Linked DNA regions of Elephas maximus indicus. The protein of the gene in region 4 purifies or fractionates together with the protein of the main gene of each other region. This does not show direct contact. Links are inferred from orthologs where the notes say so. Each region holds a gene or a part of one and is shown on either strand. Other genes may lie near its edges.

Region 1 (8,139 bases), on a different chromosome or scaffold from region 4:
GCACACTCATTCTGGAGTGTGTTGAAAAGGACGGAGGTGGAGGGCAGAGGAAGAAATGGAGCACGTTGTTGTTTTTCATTCATGCAGTATAGTGATGTCAGTGTCTGCAGCAGCAACCGCGGCGGCAGGAGCCTTGACCTGTGGAGGCTAAAATCCACTGAAGTCAGAACCTTGCAGAATTCAAAAGAAACTGAGGAGATAATGGCTTAAAAAATTAAAACAACTATTCATACTGTGGATTTTAAATGGATAAGCAGACAGCATAGATTAGTTAAACCCATAGATTAGTTGTACAGTTTTAATTTGGGTTTAGGGGGGCAAGATGGGATGGGGAGAAGTAGGATGGGGTAATAATAACCAGGGAACTGGGGGCACAAGAGCCTGCATTCAAAATCACCTCAGTGTAAGAAACTGACAAAACCACCTGGTGTTACAAAGGCAGAAAAACATCTCTAGTAGAGAATGCCCTTCCATTCCCAGCACCAGCTCCCTGATGATGCAAATCTGTCTGCTGCACAACTAGACTCAGAGAAGTGTTTTCATCATGATTGCATTAAAACTGCATTAAAGTCGGATGCGCCACACTACAACAAAGAGGATAGCTTAAGCCTCATCACAAATTTCATTAAAACTACTTGATGATGGAGCATGTAATTCCCAGGCAATTAAGGCTTTTGAAGGATGAAGAAAAACAAGTTGTACTATAATGTGTTGTAAGATGTGTTTTCAACAAAAGGGGAGGAGATACTCAATGGCCATTACTGTTGCAGCAATGGCCGAAAATACTCTTACGCTGCCCACAAAACCCTGTGTACAAAAAATCTGCAATATTTATTTTATCACTTTTACAGTAATCCCTAAAATAAAACCCTGAAACTCAATTTATGCACTAGTGAAGCTAAATCACTCAGAAATTCATGTAACTGCTGCCTCCTTTTCATTTGTTAGCTCTAGAAAATGTGCAAGGGAGTTGCATATGGCATTAATCTGTTAGAAAATGGTGGCCTTTTCTATAAAATACAGCCAAAGATGTGTGTTCAGTTGTGGTCATTATTAGGGCGATCACGTTGTTTTCATTCATTCATTCAGGATTTGCTGGAGGATGTCAGTTTCTGCAGCAGCTGGCTTGACCTGGGGGAGGAGTGGGGGAGCAAATTCCTCCTGGTGCATACAGATTACAAGATGTATTTCTTGATGCTCACGTACAATCCCACTGCACTACATCCTACCCTGGTTCACCATCAAGTGGTCTGAAAACAAGTGCCTTAGCAAATGCTAATTACAGGTCCGAAATATTAAAACAAAAACATCAAAACTACAATCTGTCAAAACACAGACTATCACATTCTCCAAGGCTAAGACCTTCATCAAGAAAACTCCATTTAAAAAAAGAATCCACATACCACGTAAACATTGTACAGAGCTCGACAGTGTTTTTGCTTCCAGCCAGAGATTTTCCACTCAGTCTGATCTGCTGCCTCCTCAATGCAGCAGCAGCATCTGTAGCTGCAGACTGGTATCTAACAGTATTAACTACTCTGATCTCCCTTATGAGCTTTGGCAAATCTTCCTTTTCTCCCCCAGGACTCAACTAGATCATTCACTGTGTCCCTAGACATACACCAAACCAAACCAGAAAACATGATGGGAAGCTCACAGCATCCACCAGTTCACCATTACCTTTGACACCTAACAACAACAACAAAAAAAACTTGAGATTCTTGAACAGTTCGACTGAACTGTTAAATGAACATAAAAGTGGAAAGAAAAAGTGAATGCACTGCACAAAAAGGTCTTTAGAAATTTACCATAAAAATCTTGAGTTGGGCATAAACCGTTTCCAGTGCAGTATTGCTATGATGCGTAAAACTACACAGAGAGGACGGGGAGACTTAAGGCGGGGAGGGGGGGTAACTCCACTTGAAATGCATTCAAAATTGCCCCCTCTATACATCCAGCAGATATCATTACATCATACCTACCACCACCACCCCTCCAAAAAAGAAAACATTATCCCCATAGTTACATGCACGTTAGGAACTTTGTAGGAAGCACAAAGGGGCTGCAGAGATTACAACCACCACCTTATGGACTGCTGGAGAGTTTGTGTGCGTGTTTAAGTGTTTCGCCCAGCTCCTTCTTCCCCAGCTACAATCAGCAAACGCGAGTGAGCTAATCATCTATTAAACTGAAAAACCTTTCGATGCAGGCGAATGATAGGAGATAAAATCTGAGGGGCTGCACGAGGGTCAAATAAAAGTTGCAGTTTTCAGTTCGCTCAGCCAAGCCCCGCTGCGACCGTAGGGGGGTGAGATTCCCAAAGCCACTTTCACACCTTCGATAATGCACTAGCAAAGAGAAGCCCGGAGAGGCTGAAGTTTCCACGGAGGGCACCGTCGGGGAGACGCAGCCCGGGAGAACGGGAGGGTTGGGCTCGCTACCTCTGCACACAGGCGAGCCGGGGCTCCGTCTCTCAGGTGAGCTGCTCCTCCGGCGGCTCTCGGGCGACCGTCTCGGGCGGCCCTTGGCCCGCGGTGCCTGCTCGGCCGGGGCCGCGGCCGGTGGCGGCGTCGGGCTAGGCGGGCTGGGGCCGCGGGCCGCGCCGGGCCCCGGGAGGCTGCCCAGCGAGGCGGCGGCGGCTACGGCGGGCGGGCGCGTGGGACTGTGCTGGCTGCTCCGCAGGAGCTGGTAGGGCACCGTGGCGCGGATGGGTTGCAGCAGCCGGCCGGCTCCCGCAGCCGGGGCGCAGCCCACGCCGCCGCCGCCCGCACCGTTCCCGCTCCCGGCGGCGGCGGCGGGCGGGGAGCTCGCGGCGCTGCGCCGCATCCTCTGCGGCGGGGGATGAGGGATCTGAGAGGAACTGGAGGAGGAAGAGGAGGAGGAGGCAGTGGACATGGTGGCTCCGCGGGCCCTGGACGACGCCAGCCGACACGGAGGCGCGGAGCTTGTGGGAGCCGGCGCGATAGTGCGTGCGAGTGTGTAAGGGGGAGGGGCGGGGATATCGGGAGGGGGAGGAGTCTCTTGGCTCCCCCTTCCCAACGCGCACCCCCGTCACCTCGGCGAGGGGGGAGGGGAAAGCTGCGAAAACAAACGTCCAACGGCCCCAACCGCCCGGTCGGGCTTGCTGTGGTGGTCACGGCTGGAGCCGCGAGGACCCCGAACCTGCCGCCGCCCAGGGCATCGCGCTGACAGAGAAGCGGGGCAACTGCCTGAGTCACGCAGCCCCAGGGGCCGCTCGCAGGCTACTTAGCCCTGGCGGGGCTGCAAGCGCGGTAGTACCAGGCAGCTGCAGGGAGGGCCGGGACCCCTGCTTCTGGAGATCAGGAGAAAGGGGAAGGGCTTCAGGGTGCTTGGCACGTCTCAGAAGCCCCGCCACCGCGAACGCCGCCGCCTCCTCTACCCGCTCCTCACTCCGACTGGCAACTAATCCCCCCACCCTCACCCCGCCCCCGGCACCGCCTCCCGGCGTTTGGGACCCGGCAGCTGCCGCAACGAGGTTTCCCATTGGCTACGCCGCTTCCGCCAGCACGCGAGTGATTGGTTTTAGAGTAGGAGTGAGCGGAGCCTCCACCAATGAAAGTGGGGCATTCTACCTTTGGGCGGAGGGTGAGGGAGTGGAGGAGTGAGGAGAGGGCTAAGCGCGCAAGGAGCGCCGTGAGACTTGACAGCCTTCGGGGTGAGAGGAGACTTTGGGCAGCCCTAGGAAACTGGGTCCATGTGTGTCCTGCGCGTGCCTTGACACCCACAGACACGCGGACGCTCCCCTGAGCAGGTTGCAAGTGCTCCACCTTCCTGGGCAGTCTACTACTTAAGGCAGAAGACACTTAAGGCAAACTTTACTTTTCAAGTATACTTTGTTCTGGTGGGATGTCTTAGAGTTAGAGTCAGAAGGATCCATCCCTTCCTTTCTAATTTTAGTAATCTGAGTTTTCGTGGCTAGTAGACTGATCAAAACAACTTAAGGTGCTTAACATAATTATCAAGATCAGGAGTAATGTCTAGAAGCCGGATGAACTAAGGGACCATCATTTCATAGCCCATCCTAACATTTGTAGTTAGCAGTAAAATGAGATGATGAAATCTTATGCTCCAGGACAGTATTACATGGGTCAACAAGGACTTTTACATCATTCACCACCAGTTAGATATAGTCACTCAGTATCCAAAGGGGATTGATTCCAGGACCCGCACAGGTACCAAAATCTGAGGATGCTCAAGTCTCTTACATAAAATGGCGTAGTGTTTGCATATACTTCTGCACATTCTCTCATATACCTTAAATCCTCTCTAAATTACTTTTAAAACCTAATAAATGTGCTATCTAAATAGTTATTATACCGTACTGTATTGTTTAGGGAATAATGACAAGAGGTGAACAATGCTCAAACAATGAGTGTCAGAGAGACACTGATGATCTGTGAAATGGCAGGAGGCTACAGTAGGGTGTGCCTACACATCATTTCATTCGCATGGATTCAGTGTATTGCTCAGCAAGTGGCAAATTCAAGTTTTGATTTTTGGAACTTCTATTTTTTATCTCTCACTCTCTCTGGAATAGTTTTGATCCACGGTTGGTTGAATCTGCGGATGAGAAACCAGCAGATACAGGGGGCCACGATATATTAGTGGAGGACACATCCTTGACTTTCTCCAGAAGCAGCCTCTTGGGAAGAATAAATACCAGACTTAATGTAACAATGCACTGGGATAAATTCTGTTTGTATTCTATAATGCAACTGAAGAGGTACAAATGCTTTGATTATCAGCAACTTAAGTTAACCTCATAGTAAACCATGGTTTTAAACACTACACAGGAACAGTTAATTTAAGAGTCTACATCAGATATCTTCCATTAATTAGGTAAAAGAAGTGGGACCCAGACCGGTCTGCCCAAACTGACAAGCTTCCTCTGATTTCAGGCACTGCAGGGGTCTGTTTCACTCACAGGAGGCATCTCTCTCTCTGTTCCCTTGTGTTCTCAGACCAGAAAGCATACTTAGTTCTGTAAAAAATTGATGAAACTCAATAAGAACACAAAAATTTCAGCCAGTACTTCATCCCATTAAGACTAGGGAAAGTTCCTCACCTTTTGTCACACTAGAATAGTAGCTAACATTTACTTAATATTTACCACTTCCCAGCCAGTGTTCAAGAACGTTCCATGTGTTAACCCATTTAGTCCTCTCAACAATCCACAAGGTAGATACTATCGTTACCCCTGCTGTGTTCTCAGCTGAAGCACAAAGCAGTTAAATATCTTGCTCAAGATCACTCAGCTATTAAGTGGGAAGCCAGGAATCTAAAACAGGCAGTCTGGCTCAAGTGTCTGTGAATAGCTCTCTCTCTACTGCCTCATAGCTTAAAGCTGTGGAGTAGATGATTGGTAGGGTATTTACAACAGTCTATAAATCTCACCTGTGAGATAAATTCCCTTTTGGTTCAAAAGACATTTTACCAGTGAAAACAGCCCACTGTTGTTTTGCTTTCCAAAATAACATGTATTTTCATTATAAATAGGGTAAATACCTTACTCCTTCAACTTTGATATAATTCATCTGATTTGTTGTGTTAGTTTTTTCATGTAAAAATTAATGATTCCTCATTAATTATGACATTGCATTCTTTCAGGCATAAAAATGACGACAACAAATGACCTCTCTGGTGAATTATTCAGAATAGTAAGAACAAAAAAACTTGACAGATTAAAATATGTAAAGCTTTAAAAAATGCTGGTAAGTTTCTAAGTTGTTGCTTTAATTACAGCATGGTTTCATTACAGAAATTTTATCTCTGGCCACTCCTTAATATAAGTATGGAACAACCTCAACACATTCAAACAAAAAAAAAAAAAATGTTTTTACATTAGAGAAAAGAAATTAGATTATAATAATTCTAAATTTTTACCAACTTTCAGTAAAACGACCAATACTTAATTTGAACTAAAACTAGCCACATTTTAAGGCTTTATGTGTTTGTTCAAATCTACCATAGCCAACTTAACTCAGATATCTAAAGCAAATCTTAGTGAACTACACAAAGAATTAGTATGATCCTAAAATACTATTTTCACTTACTGGTATGTCATCTTGATTTATTTGGAAATTCAATCCCTCTCTTTTGAGTTCTTAATAATATTTTATTCTTATTGGGGTTGGGAATGGGACTCCAAGAGCATGTATAGGCTTTAGGAAAATGTTCTTCTCAGTAAATTGGAAATCCTTTAGAAGGAAATGTGGATTTCTGGGCTAGAATAGCATTTTTATGCTACTGTGCTAGCTACAAGATAGGTTGGCACTTTGCCTATTTTGTTAAATGTAAATGTAGCAATCTCTGATAAGTCCATATAAGTCTTAATGTTAGTAATGACCTCTTTACTATGTTCTTCTTACCAGAAGAAGACAAAACTGAAAGCAGCAATGTGGTAGCGTGGGGAAGGCCTTTGTTCTCAGTAGCCTCCTTGCCTTGGCTACCTGTGGGATAAGACTCCACCATTAGCTAATCGGAGGTAGAATTCTATTGTACTTACTTCTTAGTTCAAATATGGTAATAGACTATGGTTTAGGGTAAATTAAAACATAGAATTACTGACTACCTATGATTAATATAGAGTTCCTGGGTGGTGCAAATGGTTAAGTACTCAGCCATTAACTGAAAGGTTGGAGGTTCCAGTCCACCCAGGGATGCCACACAAGAAAGACCTGGCAATCTACTTCTGAAAAATCAGCCATTGAAAATACTATGGAACACCATTCTATTGTGACACACAAGGGGTTACCGTGAGTTGGAACTGAATCTCTCCCATGTGGAGAGATAATCAGATGAAGAACCATCAGGCCTACAGAGCTACTGAGATGAAAATCTTCCTCTTCTAGTTCCATCCAGGTTTGCCAGGCTGTACATCCAAGGCCCATCCATATCTAAAAAGCAACCCAGTCTGCTAGTATTAGCAATGAGGTCATGGCTGGGAGAGAACACTAAACAGATCTGCACTGATGTTCATTTTAAGCGGATTAAACTCTCTTGTAGGTGATTCTTAGTAGCAACTCAACAAAAAAATCCTTGCTGCATTTTTGTCCCTGGCAGATGCTGCTAGTAAAACTGCCCACAGCTTGTGGCAGCCTACGTGCTCCTTTGCACTGCTGTTCCCTCTGCCTGAAAGGCTCTTGCCCCAGATATCCATGTGGCTTGTTCCCTCATTTCCATCAGGTCTTCACTCAAATGTCACCACCTTTATGATAACAGCATCTCTGAACACCCTTTTAAAAATTCTAAGTCCTCCTTAGGCGTTCCTATTCTCTATCCCGCTTTATTTTTCTCCAGAGCACTTGTTGTCATCCAACCTAGCATATATTATAATCATCATTTTGTATGTCTGTTCTGTCTGGAATATAAGAGCCATGAAGGCAGGATTTTAAAATCTATTTTATAACTGCAACATCTCCAGAACAGTGCTTGGTACATCATAAAAAATTTTAAAAATCTGTTCAACGATGTTGAGAGAGTAGCAAATTTTAACCTATACTTGTCCCATGAATGAAAACTTGAGCTTTTCATTTAAAAAAAATTGTATGATAGTAACAGGTATAGCTCTGCTGGAATGGCAAAGCCACAGAGTAGAAAAGTGTTCTATATGGCTACTGTAAACTACACAGATAGGTGCATTGGGGCTGACATTCAAAAAGAAAGCAGTATCTTGTATTGTGGTCCTTATACAGGCAAAGTGAAAAACATTAGCCCCAGTGGCTCCTGGAGGCTCATCAGAGGTTGAAAATGGAAAAGAGAATTGATAATGAAGAAAAGACAGTTGAACTTTACAGGAAAAAAGGACAACTGAAATAGAGAGTGACAGTTGAGGAGGATCAGTTAGGGAGTGACATCTGCCTATTGACATCTGCCTAGTTGGTTCTATCTCGCTGTTATGAACAGCTATTCTCAAGAGGCTGTGTAAAGGAACTGAAAAATATTTAAGTAGAAAGGGACATATTATGTAAACGATAAAATTTTTGTTTTGTTTCTAATAAGAAAGCTCACAGAAGTTATGGAAATAAGAGTGCCTTCTTTTTAACTGGCATGGTCATCGAAAGAGTAAACATGCAATTATTTCTACAAGGACAGAAAACGATAAAGACCACCAATTTT
Region 2 (7,336 bases), on a different chromosome or scaffold from region 4:
TCTAATGTATCTTGTCAAGAACACAACAGGGTGTGTGGTGAGGAGATAACGGCACAGCTCTGAGTGTTACATCACTGTGAGATGGGAAACAAAAAGTGACGACACTGAATTGTTTCTGAAACCCAGTCGCAGCTCACATGCCTTTTTACACAGTTGGGTTTCAGAGCCCTGTTTAGAAAGCTCATTTTAAAAGATGAGGAATAAAAGTGCAAGGGGCCCTGAAATTCTGAAACCTGCAGTACTGGTTTCAGACCAATCTGGGTTTGCTCTTTGAAGCCTGAAAAGGCAATGGGCTCTGGCCAACAGTGCTCTCACTATCACCTTGGCCAGGGAGAGGGAATAATAATAATACACCAAACCAAATCCGTTTCTGTTGAGTCGATTCCAACTCATAGTGACCCCATAGGACAAAGGAGAACTGCCCCATAGAGTTTCCAAGCAGTGCCTGGTGGATTCAAACTGCTGACCTTTGGTTAGCAGATGAAGCTCCTAACCACTATGCCACCAAGGTTTCCAACAACAATATAAGAAGCAGCAAATACTTTTATAGCACCTTCCATGTGCCAGGCACTGTTCTAAGCACTTGAAATCTATTAATTTGTTTGATTCTTATGATGTAGGTATTATCCACAGTTTACAGATGAGGAAACTGAGGCAAAGAAGTAACTTCCTCAAGGCCAGCAGCTACTAAATGGTAGAACCCTGGATTTGAAACCCAGGCATTCTGGCTCCCGATGCCATGCTATTCAAGGTTCCATGACTGCAACGGGTTTCCCTCTATCACATTTACCCGACTGGCCTACAAGGCACTCCTGCCACTTCCCCAGGCAGGCCAAGGTACGGAAACAGTCTGAACACACATACAGGTTTACGTTAACATGCAGAAAGCCTGATGTGCTCCCAAACCAAAGGCCAGGTACACTCCCCTATTGCCTAGCCACAAAGAACATAGGCTCAGGGTACTCTTCTTTTACCTTTTCTCTCTCCTGCTGCACTGAAAATCTATAGCTAATCCCACTATCCACCAGGCAAGTGCCATGTTAATGCCTCTGGTATATTAATAGATAGAATAATGATCGATGAACCCAATCCATGAGCAAGAGTCCACCCAACTTGCCTTAAATCACCTGTCAAGTTAAGCAGCGATCTAGCTTCCTATGTTTTGACCGTTATCTCAGGAGCTCTGTAAAAGAACAGGTCATGTAAAGAACTCAGGCATCCAAACCTACACTCTTCCCCCTACCACAGCATTCACCAGTGTTTATTTACCCTTTTATTATTAGCTCTATAGACACAAAATAACAGCTCTTAAAATAGGATTGCTAATTGATTTCCGGCTACAACACAGGCAGGTATTCTGTGGATTTCTACTAAAAAAACTAAGGTTCTGGTGCTTGCTGTTCTACTAACTTCCCTGGGCTCCAAGGAAGCCCAAACAAAACCAACAGGTTTGTAGTCTTGTGGTTTGCTTTCCAGCTCATGATAGGCATGTGTTTCTCTGGGCATTGCCTTGCTCTACACAGCCAGATTCTACACATACTTTTACCACTTGGTCACCATCTTGCTACCAGATTTGACCAAGTTTCTGTGTTCCAAGATGTGATGCTAACGTTTGCAGTAAGGTCCAGAGAGACTTGGGGGTTTTCTACCTCAGAGACCCTCTCAATCCCATTCCTACTTAGCAAGGCACGATAGCAGCTCTACTTTCGGGAAGGGGATGTGCAAGTAAGTTTAGTAATCACAAAAATCTCAGGAGACTTTGGTTCAAGGAATGCCATTAGCCGTTAAATGGCAGGGACCACGACTTTTGTACATTTGGTACAGACTCAGGCTTTGCAAGTGTGCAGTGATCTGTTCACATCTGGTGTAAATCAAATGTAAGCCTCACTTTCAACTTATTGCCAACCTCCTCAAGCAAGTAGGTTTCTTTTCCCTTTCCTAACGGCCTGCATTTGTGGAACTGGTCACAGCTTTGAGTGTGAAAGCAAGGTTAAGCTTGCTCCTCCCTAGTTTCCCCACACCCACCACATCAAGCTGCTATTAAGACACCTTTTCAGTGTTGTTCAGAAAGTGGGGTATTTGCCACAGTGTACTGATTGCTGCCCTCACCCCCACTGCCACGTTGGCTGGCAATGCCCAAAACAGCCTTGGTGGGGCGAACGGGGGGAAAGGCGGAGGGTGGCAAATTGGGTGGGGGGGTGGCGGGGAGCAGGGGAAGCAAGCTACCCAGGTCCTATACACACAGACACGGTGTTTGGAATGAGACAGCCAAATTAAGCAGGTCAACGATCTGGGCACATACAACTTCTGGGCCACACAGAGAGCAATGTGGGGAATCGGGAGCCGAACGTTTGTAGGCAGTAAAAGCCGTTAACCTAACTTATTCCAACAGCTCAAATAAAATCAGCTCCAAGAGGTGGCATAAAGGGAAGCGCACGTGAACTGGTAGGGAAAGAAACTCCACTGCTGCAGAGAGGGATGCTGGGGCCAAACTCAAGTTGGAGAAGTAACACATGGCTCCACTGGGCGCTCCTCCATGCTCCTCCCCCTCCCCGTGCAGGCGTCCAGCGCCCACCCGCACCTTGCTCCCAGGGCCAACCCTCGCAGCAGGGCACCCCCCATCACGCGCCACTCCCCCCTCACACCTTGCTCCCATCCCTAAATCTTCCGCTGGCCGCCACACAACACCTCTGCCCACTTTTCGGTTACACCCCCAAAGCCAGACTCCAGCTACCAGGTCCCACCCCCCCACCTCCCAGCCCCAAGTGAGTTCTGGCGGTGCACCCCACGTTCACGACTCCTCTCGCTTCCTCCAACCTTGCAGACTTTGTGTCCCCTTTCTCTACTTCGCCCCCACCCACTTCCCCCTCACACTTCCCCTCCCCCCTCATCACGCGCCCCCCTCCCCCACGGCTCCCCGCCCCTCCCCGGCAACCGCTCCAGGCCCGGCTCACCTGCGCGGCCACCCCCGTCCCGGCGCTGGTGCGGCTGCTGTAGCTGGAAGGGGACCGTGGCCCTGAGCGGCTGCAGCCCAGCCCGGGGAGAACCGGCGGGGGCTGGGGGAGAGCAGCCCCGCCGGAGCCCCCCGGCCCCTCCGCGCCCCGGCCCCCAGGCACCTCCGCCTCTGCCGCCCGCTGCGGCCCCCGCCATCACCCGCCCAACAGCCCTCCTGCCTCGGCCCCGCAGCGAGCACACACAGCCCCCCGGTCCTCGTCGCCGCTGCTTATCTGCCCTACGGGGCGGAGACCGGCCGCCTCAGCTCAGAGCTCTCATTGGCCTATGGAGCCCCAAGAACTACCTCCCGGCCAATCCGCGGCTTGCTTTTCCCTTTTCCAAGCATGATTGGTCGATGGGCCTAGCGATCCGATCCAAGACTCCACCCCCACCCCACCCCCTGCCTGCTTCCCGACGGCCGAGAGGCCACTGATTGGTCAGTCTGGAAGAGGGCTGGTTCTCCAGAGGCACCAATGAGAAGACGCAGAAAAGGGGAGCGTCACACCCAGCCCCAGGTAGTATGCAAATATTATCACGTGACACTAGGCTGAGCTGGGGGCGGGTTTGGGTGTGGGTTGGAATCAGGCACTGGTGAAATCATTATGTGGGCTGGGGGGTGTCAAACTTTCAGCAGTTGAGTGCTGGCAGCACGGAGAAAGTGATAACTTCGAAAGCATTACATTGTTTTAACCTGAAAACATTATTTTTGAATCTTCATAGGATCTCAGTGCTGCTAAAAAAAAAAAAAAAGTGCTGCTAGCAACGGCCAAACTAAGATTCTACAAATTAATGCAAAGTTTGCATATTATTTGCGTGCTATTTGCATAACATTCTTGCACTTAAAGGTTCCCGTGCTCATGTGACACATTTGTCTTTCTCCACGTTTCCCAGTCCCTACTTGGTGTTGGTCCAACCTGAAAAAAACAGCCGCTAGTCTGCAAATTAAATTGGAACTCTGAAAAGGAGAGCAGGGAACTTCCCTTCAGAGTAGTCTATTCCAAGTCTCTAGCTCAGCAGAGTGGAAGGAACAAAGTGACTGAAGAACTTGCCCAAGTTTGTTCAGTGACTCCATTAGCAAATCCTGATCTTCCCAGTTCAATGCTCTCTGACCTCTAATGCAAAATGACACCGAATAGTCCCCAAAAAGAATGCATACAGCTGTGACAATCACATGATGTTAATATAAATGAAAGCATTTGAGTAAAGAAAACTGCAGTTAAGGTGCTATTAGAAATTATTATGCTTGGTATTTATCAACCATTTTGTTCTATACATGGAAAAGCAAAGGCAATCAACCCTATATTGTCTGCGTCAAGGGACCATTCAAATAATTGGATAATTCCCTCCAGATTTATATTTAGCTATGAATCCTATTTTTGATCTTGCTACAGATTTATCTTTCTATTTCTGTTTTTGCCCAGTTTTATGTTAAAATGAAGGTATTCCCTGAAGATATACTAACTAATCAGAGAAAAGGAGATAACCTGGGATCATGCCGGGAGGCAAGGAGAGGTCATTCTGGGATTAAATATTGAAAGCAGATAATACACAAAGTGGAAATTCAAGAGTTGGCTGAATATTACAATCAACACAGAATGAATTGAGGAAATGGAATCTTCTGAAGAATGGTGTTCTTTGCAAAGAGTGCTCTATTGCTTGTTTGAAGGATTTAATTCAAGATCTGACATTTGAAATCTCTTTTAACTGACTAAAAAAGTGCTGGACTCCTTTTCCATGAAAGGGACAACATTACTAAAGGCAGATACCTCACTGCAGTTGAGTCGATTCTGACTCATAGTGACCCTACAGGACAGAGTAGAACTGCCCCATAGGGTTTCCAAGGCTGTAAATCTGTACAGGAGCAGACTGCCACATCTTCCTCCCTCAGAGCAGCTGGTGGATTCCAACTGCGAACCTTTCAGTTAGCAGCCAAACACTTTAACCTTGCATTTGTATTGTTTCTCAATTCCAAATAGTTCAGAGTCTTCATATGCTTTTTTTTTTTTTTTTTTTTTTAATCCTTATGACAATCTGGAAGAAGAAAAGCATGGATTTTCACCACAGTGTAGGTAGAGAAACTGAGGCCCAAAGAAGGGAATCCTTTTGATTCCTAGCTCAGATCTCTGTCCATTTTTGGACCACCCTGCCACAAACCTTCCTTAATAAAATCAGTAATGGTAGCAGCACTGACATTTACTGAGTTCCTTTCTCCATGCCAGGTACATGTTAAGCACTGTACCTGCATTATTTCATTTAATGCTCATGATCAGACTGTGAGGTGGATATTATCTCCTCTTCATTGAGGCCTCAGAGAGAAGTGCCCAAGTTTACCCAGGCAGGCTGTCTCCAGAGCCCAAGCTTCTAATCTCTACGCTTGTAACTCTTTCTTATGAACACAAAAGTATTACCATTTATAGTTCACATAAAGAATCTCCAAAGATGCAAATCTGGCTGAGATGTTAAAATGATTTAACAACTGACTAGTGCTTTATAACTTTCACATACATCATCTCATTTAATTCTCACAATATGAATGTAAGGCAGAAAATGCAGATACTATTGCCCCCACTTTACAGAAGGTTAAGACACAGAGGCTAGATAACTTGCCCAAGATCATCCAGTTATTAAATGGAAACCCAGGACTTACATCCTAGGTATTTTGACTTCAGATTCAAGCACTTTCCCAACCAACACTCAATTTACAGTCCACTGGTCTTGGCTGAGGAGAAAACGTGGGCCAGTTGGTCTCCTGAAGTCTGTTCTTGCCTCACAACATACACCATTTTAGGACCCATCTATAAATTCTCTGAGCCCAAAAGGTCTGCAGTTCAAATCCACCAGTTGTGTGTTGGAAACCCTATGGAGCAGTTCTACTCTGTCCTATAGGGTCGCTATCTTAGGCATCTAGTGCTGCTATAACATAAATACTAAAAGTGGATGGCTTTGACAAAGAGAAATTTATTTCCTCACAGTCTAGTAGGCTAAAACTCCAAATTCAGGGCATCAGCTCCAGGGGAAGGCTTTCTCTCTCTTTTGGCTCTGGAGAAAGGTCCTTCTCATCAATCTTCCCCTAGACTAGGAGCTTCTCTTAACAGAAACACCTGGTTCAAAGGATGTGTTCTACTCCCAGTGCTGCTTTCTTTGTGGTATGAGATTCCCATGTCTCTCTGCTCACTTCTCTCTGTTTTATATCTTAAAAGAGATTGGCTTAAGACACTATTTAATCTTGTAAATCTCATCAATATAACTGCTGCTAATCCATCTCATTAACATAGTGATAGGATTTACAACACATAGGGAAATCACATCAGATGACAAAATGGTAGACAATCATACAATACTGAGAATCATGACCTAGCCAAGTTGACAGATATTTTGAGGGGACACAGTTCAACCCATGACAGTTGCTTTGAGTCAGAATCGACTCAACGGCAACAGTTTTTTTTTTTCTATAAATTCTCAGGCAGTCTTAGGAGATGATGAATGGCTTTTGTTGGTTGAGCCACATAGTATGTGTTAGAGGTAAAAGCCTTGAGATGAGGGATCTTTAAATACTTTGGGCAAGTGGCTTCAACTCTGTGCCCGAGTCACCCCTGCTCTATCTACCTCTCAGAGTTGTTCTAAAGATAAGACGAAATGTTGTAAGATGCATTCTTCCCTTGAAGAGAGGGGTAATATGGGTTGTCCCAAGGACATGTGGTTTAAACCTTCTGTTCCAAGGTACCAGGAATGGAGGGCCTGGACAGGGAAGGAAGAGCCAGTGGAGGTGGCACAGCTAAAGAATTGGATCTTCTGAGTCCAGAGAGACATGGTCTTTCCTGATAAATAAGTTGCTGGCAAGAGACATTAAAGTTGGTCCTAGCTGAAGGAGTGAGAAGGCAGGCATGCAGGGGAGAACCCAGTCCTCTCCTTACCAGGTATCATCCCCAACCAGCTGTCTCTTATCCCCTTCTCTATCACTGATAGCTTCTTTGGCATAGGCATGATGGGAGGATAAGAACCTCATCTGAAGATCAACCCCTGTCTGTTTCTTCCAGTGAAAGAAGCCATGGCTTTGGGGGAGGTTGTGTGCTGCTAAGAGGAGATGCCTTGTGTTGCAAAGCACCTGCTTGTGTTGCAAGAAAACCTTTGTCACTGTCCCCATTGTCATCCTTATAAACATCATTGTCATTAATTAATTTACTGATCACAAATTTATTGAAATGATCACTATATGTCAGACACTGAGCTAGATACTAGGAAATGACAATAATGTTCAGAGACATGGTCCTTGCCCTGGAGTTCACAGCCTAGCAGGCCTTGGAGCCCATACACAGAAGTGGCACTGGGTTAGAAGCTACTC
Region 3 (7,913 bases), on a different chromosome or scaffold from region 4:
AAGGAAATAAGACTTGGTTATAAGCACATTCATCAGAGTTGTTTATAATAGTGAAAAAATGCAAACAACTTATGTGTCCAACCATGGGAGATTCATTTTTTAAAATACGGCATATCCATATTGGAAAAAATACTGTTGTTATAAATTGAGGTCCACAACATATTTATGAAAAAGAGTGAGTTACAAAACAGGAATAATTAACAATTCTGTATTTGTGGGGGAAAACTTAGGGTATGTCTGTATTGCTATCTATGCAAGAATCTATCCGTAAGAATAAACCTCAACGTTTTAACAGTGATTCTCTCTGGGTGGTAGGATTAGGGGTGATTTTTTCTTTGATTTACTGGGCTCATGTATTAATAGTCCCCTTTTAACACGCAGAATGTTTGGGTGACTTTCCCTAGTTTGCTCCCACTCCTCACTGCCACATTTGTAGGTGAAGAAACTGAGGTCTGCCTACTCCAGCTGTTTCTTAGGAATTACCTTGTCTCATCTGCAGTGGTATTCAACAACTAACCAGTCTGAGAATCTTGTGACTGTCCAGCTAATGGGGTAAAACTCAGAGCTAGCACGTCTGCTTGCTTACTTGCTTACTTTTGCTGCTATCTCCCTCAGTCTACACTAGCTCACCTGAAATCAAATAGTAGAAATCATATCATATGATCGTATCATATCACTTTCAAGTAACTTAACACATGTCCTAATGCTCCAATTAAAATAGCATCAAATAAATGAAATTAGATTTTCCTTTCCATTTTCTGGAAGTGTTCCTCACCTGGGCAGCTCTAAGTGTGTTAGCTTCCTATTCAAGTAGCAGAGTTAAGGTTTTGAGGCATTTCCACTCACTTAATCTGTATTTATAAGCACCTAACACTTGGAAGGTTTTTTTTAACACTTGGAAGGTATTGTCTTGGTGTAAAGAAATGCGTTAGGCTGTCTGCCTAATTCCCAGAGTTGTTGGGTGGAGTAACCCAGATCATACATGATGCAGCTGGTTATCTCTGATGTCACCGGGCGCAAGGGGCAGTTCCAGGAACCAGTGAACAAACATCGTTATGTCCACAAGGCCCCTGTCATCAGTGAGCTTCTAATGTGTAATGAGGTAAACGAGTACCTAAAGTCATTCTAATACAGCGCATGCTTTAAGTACCTTAAGAGAAGTACAAATTAAGACACACACAAGCACACATTGTATTTTTATTGCACTGGCAAGAGAAGTGCTATTCCCCTGGAGAGAACAACAAGGACATCGTGAAGGAGGTGGCATCTCCCCAGGGCCTTTTGCAGGCTGTAGTTTTATACCCAAAAGCTCGTCAAACTTCTCCCAGATGCCTAGTATTTTATAGCTTACTTCGAAGAGGCCAGACATCAACATAAATGTTTTTCTTAAAACAACCTAGGAAGCCAAATTATTCTAAGTTTAAAGACTTCCAGATAAGGCTGTCAATCTTCCTCACACAGCACATTCCAGCATTGAAAACCTCAGTGTTAGAATAGTCCTTGTATTGACTCTAAATTCCTATCAGAATTGTGTAGATCTGTTTTCCCTTTTTTTCAGCCCTTACAGGAAACAGAAAATAGAAGTTCTCTCCATATCTTACGCATGCCTACCATCTGAAAACTTCTAGAAAATTCTATCCTTCAAAACAATTTTACTGAGCACCTATAACGTGCAAGAGAGACATAAATGTTGAATTGACGTTATGTTGTGTTATATATATATATATTTTTACAATTAAAAAAAGAAAAAATTGATGGTGTCTTAAAATTAAGGAAATAATGTGATGATAACCATTAGCCATTAGGGCTCAATTCTTCAGGAGTCATGGTCCCACAGGTGTCTGGGTGCCAGACAGAGATACTTGAGAGATTTCATAGTTATCATGTATGGTGGATACCACAACAGTGAGGCAATGTCCCTGTCCATGTCTGACTCAGAGAAGGTTACTCTTACAATGATTTTACCAGGTTCACATCTCATCTAATCACCTCCAAATCTGTCTCTCCTACCACCATAGCAACCCACGTGACCAAGGGGGCAAGAGAAGAGTTTTCTGATGCTTCTAAAAGTCCAGGAACTTGGCCCATCCTTGGATGTCACCTGAAATATACCACTACCACAACGATCAGGGCCACGCTAGAGTATTCCACTTCATGTATTGAAAAGGCCTAACATACCTGGAATTCAAACACCAGATGGAGTGCACTTCCCTCCAACCTTACTCACAGGGGACTCCAGCTAACCCCAAGCAAAGATGCCTCCAAATTTGCTCTAAAGCGGTAGTTTGGGGACAAGGGAAAGCCATTATGCAGGTGGAAGCCATTCGAAACTATTCAGTTTTGAGGAGATAACGTCAGATATCTAGCAGGGAAATGGGGAGATGAACTGTTTGTTCTCTTGAGTATAAACTGCTCCCTGCAGTGCTTTGATACTGGACCACTGGAGGATTAACATCGGGCCTCCCCAGCAATCTTCATTTGTTATCATGGCTCACCAGTGACAGAAGAGAGCCATGAGTGAGGCACATGTGTCTCATTTAACTCACTAAAGCAAACCTGGGTCTACCTATTATTATCCTCATTGTAATAATGAGTAACGGGCTTCTAGACAGTGAGTGACCTGGTCAAGGACACACAGCCAGGAAGTGTTAGGATATGAGTGAGGGTTTAAACCACCAAACTAGCCTGCTTTCTGCTACTACTTACACATAGAGATACACTAACAGCATAGATTAAAAGAAGCCGAGATGACACAGCTCGTTGATTCTAAATGTCTCATTCATTCAACAAAGACAAGTGATTCTGTACATTGAAGGACAACTATAAAATGTACTTTACAAGTAAATATTTAAGAGTAATGTCATCATAATTATATTTATATCTTCAGAGTGCCTTTGTCAAAACTATTTCCATCTTCAGATGCAGCCTAAAAATAATTGTACATTGTACGTTTCTTTTCAAGTGGAGTTTAAACCATCTCATACTGTTTTAATATTTAACTTCAAATATTTCCATTTCTAAGTTAACAGAGTTTTATGTTCAATGTAAACAAAAATTCTTAAGTTTTCACTTTCATTTTCTTCTGACACCTTCTGCAAAAGAATGCTGTATGTCCATTTTTCAGATAAAGAAGGCTAAAATAGTATGATTGGAAAAGAGAAGGAAGGCATGCAGAGAGAGCTAGTAAGCCAGCTAAGGATGGAACAACTCCCCAGGTCTCCAGAGAGGTGGACAAGGCATCTATAAACCAGCATATACTGCCTGACTGTATCTGGCTTAGCCAGGTACATACCTTTGCAAGTGGCTGAATTTAAGTCCAGTGTGGCACTTTCAGAAAATGGCATCAAAGGTTGGACTATAAATCTTTTCTGATTCTCAAGTCACTGGACATTTAAGAGCAAAGATATTGATGGGCTCTTTCCCTTCTCTTTTTTTTTCCTTCTAACAGATGTATGATTCATGGATTGTCCTTTAGTGGTCTCCAATTCCATCTTATTACTTTTTCTTTGCTTCTGCTTCCTGACAGCTCTGAAAAACAAGGTACTAAATTATTTTGTAGAATGAGCACAGTAAATTCTGTAATTATGTTGAAGTTTAATTAACTAGCTAACCAAATAAGAAAACAGAGGAGAGAAGGAATTTACTGTATTATAAGCATAAATCCACAGAACTCTTACCATAGTAACAAGGAGATAGCCAGAAGCCTGACCAAACAAAATGTTTGAGAAAAGAAATTTCTTTGAAAGATGGTTACTACACATTTAGAACAATCTGTTTAGGACAAACACATCACAGAGGTAGTCAAGCCAATGAGTTATGTTTTTGGTTTTTTCTGTTTTGTTTTTTTTTTTTTTTTTGGTACATCCATACTGCTCAACTCAGCACTTCAATCTTCAAACCCCTGAATTACATTTTTTACAAAAAGGACCTATGCATTCGGCAGTTAGCATAATGGGAAAATGACAACACTGGAAGGGGCCCATTTTATAAGTCCTACAGTCCTTGGGCTAATTTTCCTTTCCTCAGGAACTAAAAGTCCTGGGCAAGTGCCATACAGGTTGTCCACATTTTGTGGTCCCTGTCTTCCTGAAAACTAGCTTCAAAATGAAAAAGCTGGACCCTGCCCTCTAAAAGCACTAAACCACACCAGAAAAAAACAGATCATTTGCTTCTGGCATTCTCTGAACTAAGTTACGGGTAATCTGTGGCTGAGAAAGACTACTGGTTTGTACATTCACTTTCTCCAAGCTGGAAGAATACCATTTATCGTATCATGAACCAGAGAACAGGTTGGGCTTAACAGTTCTGGCAAGCCTAGAAATTTCCCGTCACTAGTCAGCAAAAGGAAACCCTGGTGGTGTAGTAGTTAAGTGGTATGGCTGCAAACCAAAGGCTCAGCAGTTCACATCCACCAGGTGCTCCTTGGAAACTCTATGGGGCAGTTCTACTCTGTCCTACAGGGTCGCAATGAGTCGGAATCGACTCGACAGCACTGGATTTGGTTTTGGTTTGGTTTAGTCAGCAATAACAGAAGCCCTCGTGGTGAAGTGGTTAAAGTGCTCGGCTGCTAATGGAAAGGTCCGCGGTTCGAATCCACCGGACTGCTCCACTTGAGAAAGATGCAGCTGTCTGCTTCTGTAAAGATTACAGCCTTGGAAACCCTAGGGGGCAGTTCTACTCTGTCCTATAGGGTCACTATGAATCGGAACTGACTCGATGGCAATGGATTTGGTTTTTGATAGCTAGCAATATCAATAGTTAGCTTCACCTCTCGTAAACCACAAGCCCTGGGGAAAAGCTTATTTTTGACCTCCCAGGACCAAAACCTGCGAAAGGTTTCACAAACAATACATAATCCCCTAGTGAACCAAACTTAAGCCTCACTTTTTGTTCACTCGGCATAAGTGTCAAGAATACAAAAATGAATGGGCATAATCTTTGACTTCAAAGAGCTAGAAGACAGATGAGGCGGAAATCACCCTCCTATCCCTTCCCTAGGCTTTTTTTAGGAAAAGAAATTAAGGCTATGAAAATCTACGATCATCCAGTGAGGAAGTGGCAAAACTAGACTGATTCCAGAAACTGCTTTTAATCATTTTGGATGCTATGCATTACTATAAATTACTCAGCTATGCAAAATGCTAAGCATATGGTAATCACTCAATAAATATTAGTAGTAGTTCCACACGACTCAAGTGTTATTCAGTTTCGCTTGACAAGTTTGCAATGTTCCGTATGTAGACTTTGCACTATGGATTGGAATATTCTATCAGTTCAAAATGAAAACAGTCATCTTTATATTGTTTTTGCACGTTATACAAATCTCCTCTTTCCCCCAGCCAATTTTTAAATGTAAGATAATTTCCTGATAAGTGATGATTTAGCAAGTTTAATGAAGTATAGTATAATCTCTTGATAACAAAGTCAATGCCTGTACAAATAAATTTAAACAAATTTTTCTTTGGCTCATCCGCGAATAAGCATGACTAAAAATCAACACTATAACCAGATTTCACTAGGGGATACAGTAAACAAAAATAGGTGGAAAAAAATCTTAATATATTCATTTTCAATATGAATAAACAAAGCTTTGCAGATATAAAGTCTTGAAGCTGTGATGAACTGATTGAGTATAAATCAAATAATTGTTTTTACTTAAAATTAAAGTTAGTCTTTGTCCTCTAAAAGTATTTATGTAATTGACAAAATGAGTTTTAACCACAAGAGGGAGCCAGCATCATTCCAGTTCACAACCAAAGGAAAATTAGCATTAAGGAAAAACAAATTAATATAAAACAGCTGTAAAAAACAGAAGCTAAAAAGATCTTTTATGCCATGTATGCCTAAAATACTATTAAAATTATTTTTTTACTATCTTAAAGAGAAAAAATAACATAGCCTTGTTAATTTTAAAATAAAAAATTTTTTAAGAGAAATGTTAGCAAGAGTTTAGGAATCTTCTCTGAGAGAAGCAAGTAAAATACTATTTAAGAATGACCAGATATACCACATCCCCAAGGATTTGCTCTTAGACTTAAACTTCCTAAAATCTGTACTGAAAGACACAGATGAATTCCCACAATGAAAACAATATACGGTAAAACCTGTGAAAGCCGGAACCTGTGTAAGGTGGAAACCTGTCAGAGAAGGAAAACACAAATATTTTCCACAAATAGAGAGCAACAGAAAAGTAGTAAGACTGCAACCTGTCAAAGGCCGAAAACTTTCAAGACCCAGAAAAACAAGGCAGTCCTGTCACGTTCCAGCTCTCACAGGTTGTACTGTATTACCACAAAACAGACTAACTGAGGCTATTTAAAACCCAGGAAAGAGCCTACCGGGCCCTGGTGGTACAATGGTTAAGCATTTGGTTCCTAACCAAAGGGTCAGCAGTTCGAGTCCACCAGCAGCGCCTTGGAAACTCTGGGGCAGTTTTACCCTGTCCTATAGGATCTATGAGTCCGACAGCAACAGGTGTGTGTGTGTGTGTGTGTGTGTGTGTGTAAGAATGCAAGTTCAGTTTCTATGTATCATGAGTTTACAGAGGTAAAGGCTGAGCATGTTATCTTCCTGTTCCTACTGAGAATAGTGTAACAGTCACAGACCGATAGTTTATTAGGTTGCATTCTACTCTTAAAGGTTTCTACTAGAAGATTTTGTAAGATTCGTCAATAAGTTCTGTCTGTTTCTATAATGATCTCAAATCCCATAAGGTCTAAGACACTATTATGCTTTCAAAATACATATGAATAAGCACTCATAATATGAACTTAGAACTATGTCTACCACTCTGAGGCTCTCCTAATAAAGTAATTTAGAAAATTTCTAAACTTAGACACAGAAACACAGGAGCATGTGAAGTATGTAAAGAATGTAAATAACCTTTAAGTTCACTCTGACCCAGCATCCTGTGATACAAGAAAACAACATTAATTAAACAACCTCCCTAATGTCTAACCTTGAAGAGAAAATGCATCTTTTGGCTACTCTCTAACCCTGAAGAAAAGACAGAACATACTAGTCTTTGACGTCACACTGGCCCTCATGTGAAGCCAAGGTGATAAATTCACATATAAACTCTAAATTTCTGCTCGCGTACTGAGAGAAGATAGATATGGAACTGAGATTCTGTCCACCACCACTGGCCTTGGACCCTAGCTGTAAGGGATCTCTAATGAGTTCCAGCTGTGGTGAAGCCTGCCTCCTGAGACCTCTCATCAAAGGTATAAACCTGAAAGCAAAAGATTTGGACTCTAACCATTGACCAACATTGTAATTGTAAATTCTGATTCTCCAGTTCTAAATGAATGTTGTGAGGTCTTACCTGCATGACTACCTTGCAGTAAACTAAAGCTTATGCATATCAAACCTGAGTATCTCTTTACTAATTTTCTAAGATATTAAAAGCCTACACGACAGCCTCTTTAATGTTTTTAAAATTCTACTTCCATTCGGGTTACTTAATGGAAAAAATTATTTAAAATAGAGTAAATCTGATAAAAAGTAATGGAAAAGTCAGTTTAAGTAGGAGGTAGAATTCAAGTGGCTGGGTTTTAATGAAAAAAATTAATTTTCACAAAGAAAATAAAAAGAGATAATAGAATCCTAATACAATCATAAAATAGTAACTAATGAATGCATCATATACTTCTAATACTAATAGGTGTTTTTTCATCACAGCTCACATGACGGCTCAGAATCTTCTATCTTGATTTCAAACGTTCATGTAATGTGAAATTTGGATATCTGGTAATCTCTACCTAATAACCATGTGACCTTAGGAAAGGGTCTCAGTTTTCTTATCCATAAAACAAGAGGGTTCAATTCCTATCATCCCTTTAGTTTAAAAAAAAAAAAAAGATAATTATAATCATTCAAATTAGCCTGGTTGAAATAGCAATGGTTTTCCTAAA
Region 4 (8,401 bases):
CTGACATTTAATGTTTTACTTTCTAGAATAATTACTTGAAAGCCTATAGTCCTCCCTTATGTTGCCCATACTGACTCCACATTGTTCAACCTCAACTATTAAAATACTATTACAGGTTAAAGAAGTCTTTGATGACCAGAAGTCAGACACTCAAAATCCACCTAGCTTTACCCCATGTCTTAGTTATCTAATGCTGCTATAACAGAAATACTGATGGCTTCAACAAACAGAAATTTATTCTCTCATAGTTTCAGAGGCTAGAAGTCTGAATTCAGTGTGCCAGCTCCAGAGGAAGGCTTTCTGCCTTTGTCAGCTCTGGGGGAAGGTCTTTGTCATTAATCTAGTCCTGGGTCTAGGAGCTTCTCAGTGTAGTGACCTCATGTCCAAAGGATGTGCTCCACTCTTGGCTCTTCTTGATTGGTAATAATGAGGTTCATCTCCTCTCTGCTTCTCTCTTTTATATCTCAAAAGAGATTGACTCAAGATACAACCTAATCCTGTAGATTGTGTCCTGCCTCATTAACACAACATCCTCTAATCCTGCCTCATTAACATGATAGAAGTTAGGATTTTTGACACATAGGACAATTGGATAAGGTCACAAAATGAAGGACAACCACACAATACTGGGAATCATGGTGTAGCCAAGTTTACACACATTTTTTGGGGGGTACATAATTCAATCCGTAACACTCTGGGAGACTATATATATGTATATATGCATATACATACATATATATATATATACATACACACATTTATTAGAAAAGGTACTAATCAAGGACCCATTAGAACCCCATTGAAAGGGACCATACCTAGACTTCCTCACCAACTCGTGTGCCCCCAAAACTAGGAGTCAAACCCTGAATCCATCTATCACAACTGAAAAAAGTCCATGCTGCCTCTGTAGACCAGCTAGCCCTCTAAAGCTAAAAATCACCTTGAGACACTCTGGAGGCCAGAAGTAGAGGACATCCAAGGTAGGCAGCTAATCCTAAGATCACAGAACAAGATTCCATGCATCTTGCTCAACTTTGTGGCCTTTGTTTTATAATTGTAGCTATCCTTATGCTGCTAGCATTACTCCATACTTGTGGCCTTATTCCTTAGTAATTTTATTCAACATGAAAGTCCACTTAAGTTTTATATTTCTCTTTGTAGTAATTTCTTCTCCTTTTTTGATATCTTTAGTTGGTTACCCAATGGCATTGGTTCTTCGTTATGCTCATCATTAGAAACTTGACTAATTCTTCTGATCATTATGTTAATTATAAGACTGGTTAAATGCATCATGAATTATATATCTAACTTTTGCAGTCACACCGCCAGACCCAAAGTTATGCAAAGTATATATATATTGAGGAGGTTCAAGTTTCTGGAACTTTGAGCTTGTGCCTTCGCAGTTTGTCAGCTTGCGTAATGCTGAGATATTCCTCTAAAAAATTTGGCCTTTCTACTCCAAGCTCCCCTTACCATCAGTTCAGGAGGAGAGTGACTAAGCAATGGCATAGTGCAGATACTAGATGGTGCCTGGCTACTCAGTAAAAGCATAGCAGCATCTGGGGCCTTAAAATCTTGAAAGCAGCCATCTATATTACAGCACAATTTAAAGACCATGCACAAGAAAGGGCTGTCATAATGGTCTTTGTGATTTAAGAAATTCTATAAATTCTTGATCAAAAGGGGGGAATGATAAGTAGCTTCTAAAATCAAACAGAGGCTCTCAGCTAGGCCAAAATGGCTGAGGACTCAGATCTCAATAAAAGGTTTGTCCAGATTACTAAAGAGGGGGATGATAAGTAGCTTCTAAAATCAAACAGAGGCTCTCAGCCAGGCCAAAATGGCTGAGGACTTGGATCTCAACAAAGGGTTTATCCAGATTACTCTGAGTAAACAGGGGAGGGAGACAGAAAGGAAAGTAATAAATGTGCTTAGAATGTTACAGGAAACATGTGACACAAATTCAATGTCCTTGGAAAGAATGCTTTTCGAAAATTGTCTCTTAGGCTGAGATTAGATTAACTGATATGAAGAGCTGTTTTTGAAATGTTTATGGGATTATAGGGACAACGACTTGATGACAATGGGTTTGGTTTTTGGTTTTAACTTTGTGTATAAAAGCTCAATTTTGTCCCCAGAAAGATGGAGCGCCTTGTTCTCTGAACGAAGTGCTGCCCAATTTGCAAATTGTATCTTGCCTCAATAAACTCCTTGCTTTTACTTCACAAACTCTCAGATTTTACTCTTTGACATAGCAATTAATTTTGGCTCATTTAATATAGTGGTTAAGTACTCAGATCCTAACTGAAAGGTTGGTGGTTTGAACTCACCAGCTGCTCTACAGGAGAAAGATGTGGCAGTCTGTTTCTGTAAAGATTTACAGTTTTGGAAACACTGTGGGGGCAGTTCTGTTGTGTCCCATAGAATCTCTGTGAATCGGAATTCACTTGTTGCCAATTTTTTTTTTTTTAGTGTTAAGGGTTACAAATGCCTAAGTGATTAGACAGAAGCATAACCATGTAAAGGGGACGGAGCAGGGACAAGAAAAGGAGGAGGAAGTTGGCTGTATAAGTGGAAATTTGATCTTGGGTAAAACCAAGGTAGTGATTGCTCATCTGTATAAGGACACTCTTGGCCACTACCTCTTCCTTCAAAACAACTAAGTACAATGTGGATGTTAATTACAGTACCAGGGTAACTTTGAAAAAACTCAGCAATCCAGAAGAACTTTTGTAGTTTTTTGATACCCTGAAGAATCAAACTGAAGTAAGCTATTTTTGCCTGAATATACACACTATTTAATGTGGTGAAAATATACACAATAAAACATTCACCAATTCAAGTTTCTACCTGTACAACTCAACGACATTGATTACACTCTTTAGGTTGCACTCCTCTGTGCCCATTTTCTTCCTAATTATCCCACCACCCTTAACATACACATGCCTGAATACTTTTTGCCTAATTTCTTTTACGTTTAATTTGATTTCTTTCAGGGCCTGTACTAACTTCAATGATTACCTTAGCGCATCAATTGGTTTGTTTGTTTTTTTTTTTGGTTTTGTCAATGTTCTACTAACTGTAGAAACAGAACATTTGTTGCAAATCTTTTTAAGCAAACATCTTTCCTTGAGTCACATACATAAGATAGCTATCAGTATTTATTACAATACTTTTTTTTACACCTAATACTGTTTATATGTTGCTACCGTACTTGTGAACAGCTGAAGGCTCCTATAAGAAAAAACGAATATGATCACCATCATAAGATGGCAAAACCGAACTTAGAAATAAATCAGTATATTAGCGACTTTTGGTACAAAATAATATATAAACTCTTCTCAGCTGAACATTAAAGGCCCTTATATTACGGTTGGTACAAAATACAATTTTTAGCCAGTGGCTGTCTCCTAATTACAAAGTAGCCAGCATGACATAGCTTGGGTTTTAATGCCTGGGGAGCACACCTAGAAATATTTAGTCAGGCAAAACAAAACCTGAATGCAAGCCAAAATAGTAATAACTGTTCTGATTGTCAAGGTAAGTGGGCAAATTAAGTATCTGGAAATTGAGAAGGTACATTAAAAAAAAAAAAAAAAAGGAGTCGAACGACAAGGACATAGTAATAGCACAAAAGGATTAATCTGAGGGGCATTTCCATGGAGAAGCCAGGCTGTACCCACAGAAGCGGGGAGGGGTAAAAAAGAAGGCTCGAAATAGATGGGGAAGCATGGGCGGAGCGTGCACTGCCTAGAAAAGTTTTTATGACAGCTACGTCCATAATTCTTGAACGTTGGTATTGGTTCCTTAAAAATCTGAGCGGCATGATTTAATCAAGGTGTCAGCCGCAGGGACATCCCTGATTCCGGGGAAGCGTCGGAATTCCTGAGATGTCTGAAGTGCGGAGGCGGCCTCCACCCCGCCCCCACCGCGGCCTCCGTGGGCATTTTCCGGCGAGGGGGGGACGCGAGCCCTTCAAAGAACACTTTAAACCCATGGACGTGTGCGCCGGGCTGCTCCCACGCGGCCGCCGCGCGCCCCGGGAATAAAGGCGAACACCTCGTCCGGACCGCGGTGAGAGCCCCGTGGACGGGCGCCCGCGGGGGGGCTTTCTGGGTCCCCTCCCCCATCGGCGCCCCTCCCCCCGGCGCGGGCGGGGCCGCGGGCGCACGACGCGGAAGCGCGGGGCTCCGGGGGCGGTGGCGCGGAGCGGGAGGGCGCGCGCTCTCAGGGCCGCAGTCGGCGCGGGCGCGGCGGGCGCGGGGGTCGGGAGGCGGCGGGCGCTCGCGCACAGGCTGGCCGCCGCCTCGCCCCCCTTTCCTCCCTCAGCCCGTCCGTCCCCCCTCTTCTTCCTCCCTCCCCCGAGCGAATCACGCGCCCTCCTCTGACACTCGTAGCGGGCCCGAGCTCCGAATTTATCCTTCACGTGACCTGAGGGGGCTGGGTGGTTGGTTGGGGCCGGAGAGGGAGAGGGAAAGGAGGGAACGGAATCTGCCGTTACCCGAGCAACAAGCCCCGCCCGCCGGCTCGGGGACGGGGGGCGGGAGGAGGACGTCAGCACGTCAGCCGGGGTTTTGCGTTTTGATTGACAGTTGCTATAGCGACCGGATCGGTCCGCCGCCATTTTGTTGGTTGGTTTTTTTTTAAACCCTTTCGCTTCCCGCCCGAATAATAATAAAAAGCCCCATTGGAGTGAGGCGGGGGTGGCGGCGGCAACAGCGGCGGGGGGATCCGGGGACACTGCTGCCGTTGCTGCTGCCGATCGTGGCCCAAGTCGGGCGCGGGGAGCGGACACCCCGAGCGGGGGGTGAGGGTGCCGCCGCCGCCGCCGCCGCCGCTTCTGCTGCTGCTGTTCCTGCTGCTGCTGTTGGTGCCGCTGCCGCCGCCGGCGAGCGGGCGGGACCGGTGTGAGTGTGAGAGTGTGTGAGTGAGCGTGTGTGAGGACGAGTGTTCGTGCGTGTGTGTGCGAGTGTGTGTGTGAGTGTCTGTCTGTGCGGGCACTCGGGGGCGGGCGGTTCGGGCGCTCCTGGCGGAGAAGCCGCCGCTGCCGCCGCCGCCGCTCGGGCCCCGGCGCTTCTCGCTGCGCAGGTTTGGAGCGCGCGCCATTTTGTGAGATTTACAAAATCCTCTTCGGGAAGAAGCAGCCGGGAGCGGCCGCGACTAGGTGCCCGGCCTCGCCGCCGCCGCCGCCCTCCTCGCCGGGCCGGGCCGTGCGGCCCCGCCGCCGGGAGTCGGGGTCCGGGGACTGCGGTATTTGCCGGGGAGGGGGCTGTCGCCTCCCCGGCCCCGGGCGCCGCTGGAACCGAGAGCCGGCGAGAGACTGAGCAGACTGCGGCGCGGGCGAGGAGCCGGGGGCGGAGAGAGGCGGCCGGGGTGGCGCTGGCTGCGGAGGCCGCGGCGGGAGCGCAGCGGCGGGAGCCCGAGGCTGAGACTCACCGGAGGGAGCGGCGCGAGCACCCCGCCATCGTCCCGGTGAGTGTCCGGCCCGGCCGCGGCCCCGCCCGGTCCGGCGCTCGGCTCCCCCCGCGGCCTGTAGCCGGGCTCGCGCCGAGGCCGGCCGGGCGGAGGGAGGGACCTGCCATTTTAGGAGGAGGCGCCGCGGGCCCAGGCCCGGCCGCCGGGGAGGGAGGCTGCAAGGCCGGGTTTTGGAGGAGAGGCGGGTGCGAGTGCAGGGAAAGTTGCGGAGGGCGGGAGGAGGGGGCCGCGGCCTCTCGGGAGCCGGGGCCTTAGGGGCCGGAGAAAGCGCCAGACCTTTACTGGTCGCCCGAGCCGAGGGGAGGAGGTTGTCTTCCTCCTCCTCCTCTTCCTCCTCATCCTCTTCCCCCAGCTCCTCCCTCGTCCCTCCTCTTGGTCCCCACCAGTGTGGGAACCGCCGGGGTTCTTAGCAAGGACAATGCCTGGGTTAAGAAAATGGGGCTGGTGCTGGGCGAGGCGAGGACGGCGGAGCCGAGGTTGGGCGCCGGGAACGTCGGGAGCCCGATCCCTCACAACCCGTTGGGGTCGGTGCTGGAGGGAGTGGGACTCGGCGTGTTCTGAAGTTGTGCAGTGACTGCAAGTAATCCGGCCACTCGAGATGCAGTAATGCCCTATTCAGCAGCTGGAGGAGTTGGTGACTGGGAAGACGTGAATTATAATTGATACCTGTGTTTTACGACATAACTTCACTTAGCTATTTATAGACTCTAACTCACATTTCTGCTGAATATTTATCTCCACACTTAGCAAAAGGCTCCTCCATATTCTGAAATAGTTAAAAAATAGAAAAATTAGCGAGTGAGTGCCTCTGACTTCTTGGCTGTGGTTTTCATCCACCCGGAGGTTATAGGAACCCTGTGATGTCCGTATAGCGCTTGAGTGCCAGCACGACTTGATTATTGAGTTTTGCCCGAGTTGTCAGGAAAGATACGTTATAACGTTATTCTTACACGGAGTTGAAGATGAGGACGAGTAGTGCCAGGTGCCTCTCTCTGGGCTTTACATGTTATTACCTCGCTGATCCGGCCAGGAGGAACTGCTGCCCATTTTACAGATGAGGAAACTGAGCCGACAGAAGGGCAGTGACACGTCCAAGGTCAAACAGCGGGAGCATGGAGTCTGTAGCGAGCCTGTGCTCTTAACCGCCGTGTTATTGTAAATCATTATGAATACTGGCAAATTTTGGAACCATTTGTGTGTAATGACTCAGGATTCTAACGTAGAGATTGTCTCTCTTTATAGTGTTTAGAATGGGATTGATTTTGTGGTTTGTGGAAGTGGAAGGGAAAGGTTGACATGAGGTCCTCTTGATGAAACTTGTCAGTTTTTTTTTCAAGAAAATTAGTTTTAGAATGGAAGGAATTAAAAAGTATTCTTAGGTGTGTGGTGTTCTTGATAATTATAGGCATCATTTAAGTATTGATGAGTCATAAAGTTTTGTGTGAAGTTATTTTTGGTGATATTTTATATTTAAATAAATATTTTGGATTTTTTCTGTGACATTTTACACATCTAAAGTGTCTAAAAATGAATATAATTAGTACTTTGATTTTGGGTACTTTAATAAGTAAAATTATTTTTAAGTTTTGTTTTCTTAAATTTCTCATTTGGTTATTCCATTACTTTAAAAGAATATTTTCAGATAGACTAAATGTGAGACTAGGATTAATGTTTCATGTACTAGGGTTTTAAATTGAAGATAGTTTTAAAGAAACAGCAGTTAAGAAAAACATTTGCTTGATTATAGTTAAGCTTTTTAATGTATCCCAGTACTTTTGAAGGATCTGCCTTGAAGTAACAGTAGTGTTTACGGTAGCTGTCCAAATTATTTAGACTTCAAACCTAGCTGGAGAGCTTAGGACTCTTGTCAGTGTCTACACTGTGTTCTGTTGTAAACCTGGGCATAAAAAAGTTCCTGTTTACCTCAGGGAGGCATGAGCTCAAAAATTATTCTAGAAGGGTCTTCCCTTGTGTCTGTAAGGCGAAGGCATACTCTTATTTCTGGTGGTGTTTAAAAAAGATTTTAGATTTGAAGGAATAGACTTGAATGGTAGGGGTGGGGGTGGGCTAAGTGATCTGGTGAGATCTCTGTTATTGTTAAATTGTTTAGGATTTTGAAATTTAGGAATAAGATGGTTTCTTAAGGTATTTTGAAGACATTTCGATGGGACCTGTTAGAAATTTAATAAAGTTATTGTACTGTGCATTTAAAAATTAACAAGTAATCCAGTCTTTTAGGTGCACTGTCGTTCAAAATAAGTGGAAATATTCCATTTTAGTGCAGTGTCTTGTTTGGAAGTGTGGATAGTAAAAAAGACCCTTGGTTAGAATTTTTTTAGTCTCGATAATACTGCCTGAAGCCTGTTCCTTGGTTTTATTGTGAGTTCATTGTATTTATGACTTATAGATATGGGGTAAACTGGGGAGTGGTAAGTAGAACAAATTGTATTTGAAGAATTTCCATGGATTTTTATAGTTCTATGAATATCTGGAAAAGTGAAATTGGAATAACTTGTTATGAACATGTCTAAAATGACTATTGGCACTCATTTTGTTTAGTAACCACACCAAGAAAGAAAAATGCTCATTTGCATTGAATCTTGGGTAGTAATTGAAAACCATTTTTTTTTTTTTTTTTTAAGAAATAGTTTAGAAATTGAGACTGCCTATAGGTGTTTTCACATGCATGCTTATGTTTGGCAAGTATCTAGTTGTGGGAAGAAAATTTGGATAGAAGTAAATTTACTGTGGGTGAGAAAGGAATTGCTTTTGTATAAAAACCAAAAAAAAAAAAAAAAAATCCCACTGCTGTCGATTCAGTTCCAACTCCTAGCGGTCCTATAGGACAGAGTAGAACTGCCCCATATGGTTTCCAAGAAGCGGCTGGGGCATTCGAACTGCTGACCTTTTTTTTGGTTAGCAGACA

The links.
Region 1: the proteins of DYRK1A (region 4) and GLCCI1 purify together in Homo sapiens (affinity purification with mass spectrometry; 8 studies listed by BioGRID and IntAct, with this or other methods). This does not show direct contact. The link is inferred for Elephas maximus indicus from reciprocal best matches to the Homo sapiens genes DYRK1A and GLCCI1.
Region 2: the proteins of DYRK1A (region 4) and FAM117A purify together in Homo sapiens (affinity purification with mass spectrometry; 4 studies listed by BioGRID and IntAct, with this or other methods). This does not show direct contact. The link is inferred for Elephas maximus indicus from reciprocal best matches to the Homo sapiens genes DYRK1A and FAM117A.
Region 3: the proteins of DYRK1A (region 4) and ANAPC4 purify together in Homo sapiens (affinity purification with mass spectrometry; 3 studies listed by BioGRID and IntAct, with this or other methods). This does not show direct contact. The link is inferred for Elephas maximus indicus from reciprocal best matches to the Homo sapiens genes DYRK1A and ANAPC4.

The regions. Positions count from the first base shown.
Region 1 is NC_064826.1:68,678,729-68,686,867, reverse strand, and holds the start of GLCCI1 (glucocorticoid-induced transcript 1 protein), read right to left. Parts: upstream 3,406-8,139; 5' UTR 2,896-3,405; coding exon 2,442-2,895; intron 1-2,441.
Region 2 is NC_064837.1:43,842,569-43,849,904, reverse strand, and holds the start of FAM117A (protein FAM117A), read right to left. Parts: upstream 3,207-7,336; 5' UTR 3,151-3,206; coding exon 2,955-3,150; intron 1-2,954.
Region 3 is NC_064823.1:137,986,097-137,994,009, forward strand, and holds the start of ANAPC4 (anaphase-promoting complex subunit 4), read right to left. Parts: upstream 3,381-7,913; 5' UTR 3,293-3,380; intron 1-3,292. Other genes in the region: rRNA N6-adenosine-methyltransferase ZCCHC4, read right to left, coding at 3,381-3,528. UniProt on the Homo sapiens protein: Component of the anaphase promoting complex/cyclosome (APC/C), a cell cycle-regulated E3 ubiquitin ligase that controls progression through mitosis and the G1 phase of the cell cycle.
Region 4 is NC_064820.1:219,102,535-219,110,935, forward strand, and holds the start of DYRK1A (dual specificity tyrosine-phosphorylation-regulated kinase 1A), read left to right. Parts: upstream 1-5,381; 5' UTR 5,382-5,472; intron 5,473-8,401. UniProt on the Homo sapiens protein: Dual-specificity kinase which possesses both serine/threonine and tyrosine kinase activities. Exhibits a substrate preference for proline at position P+1 and arginine at position P-3.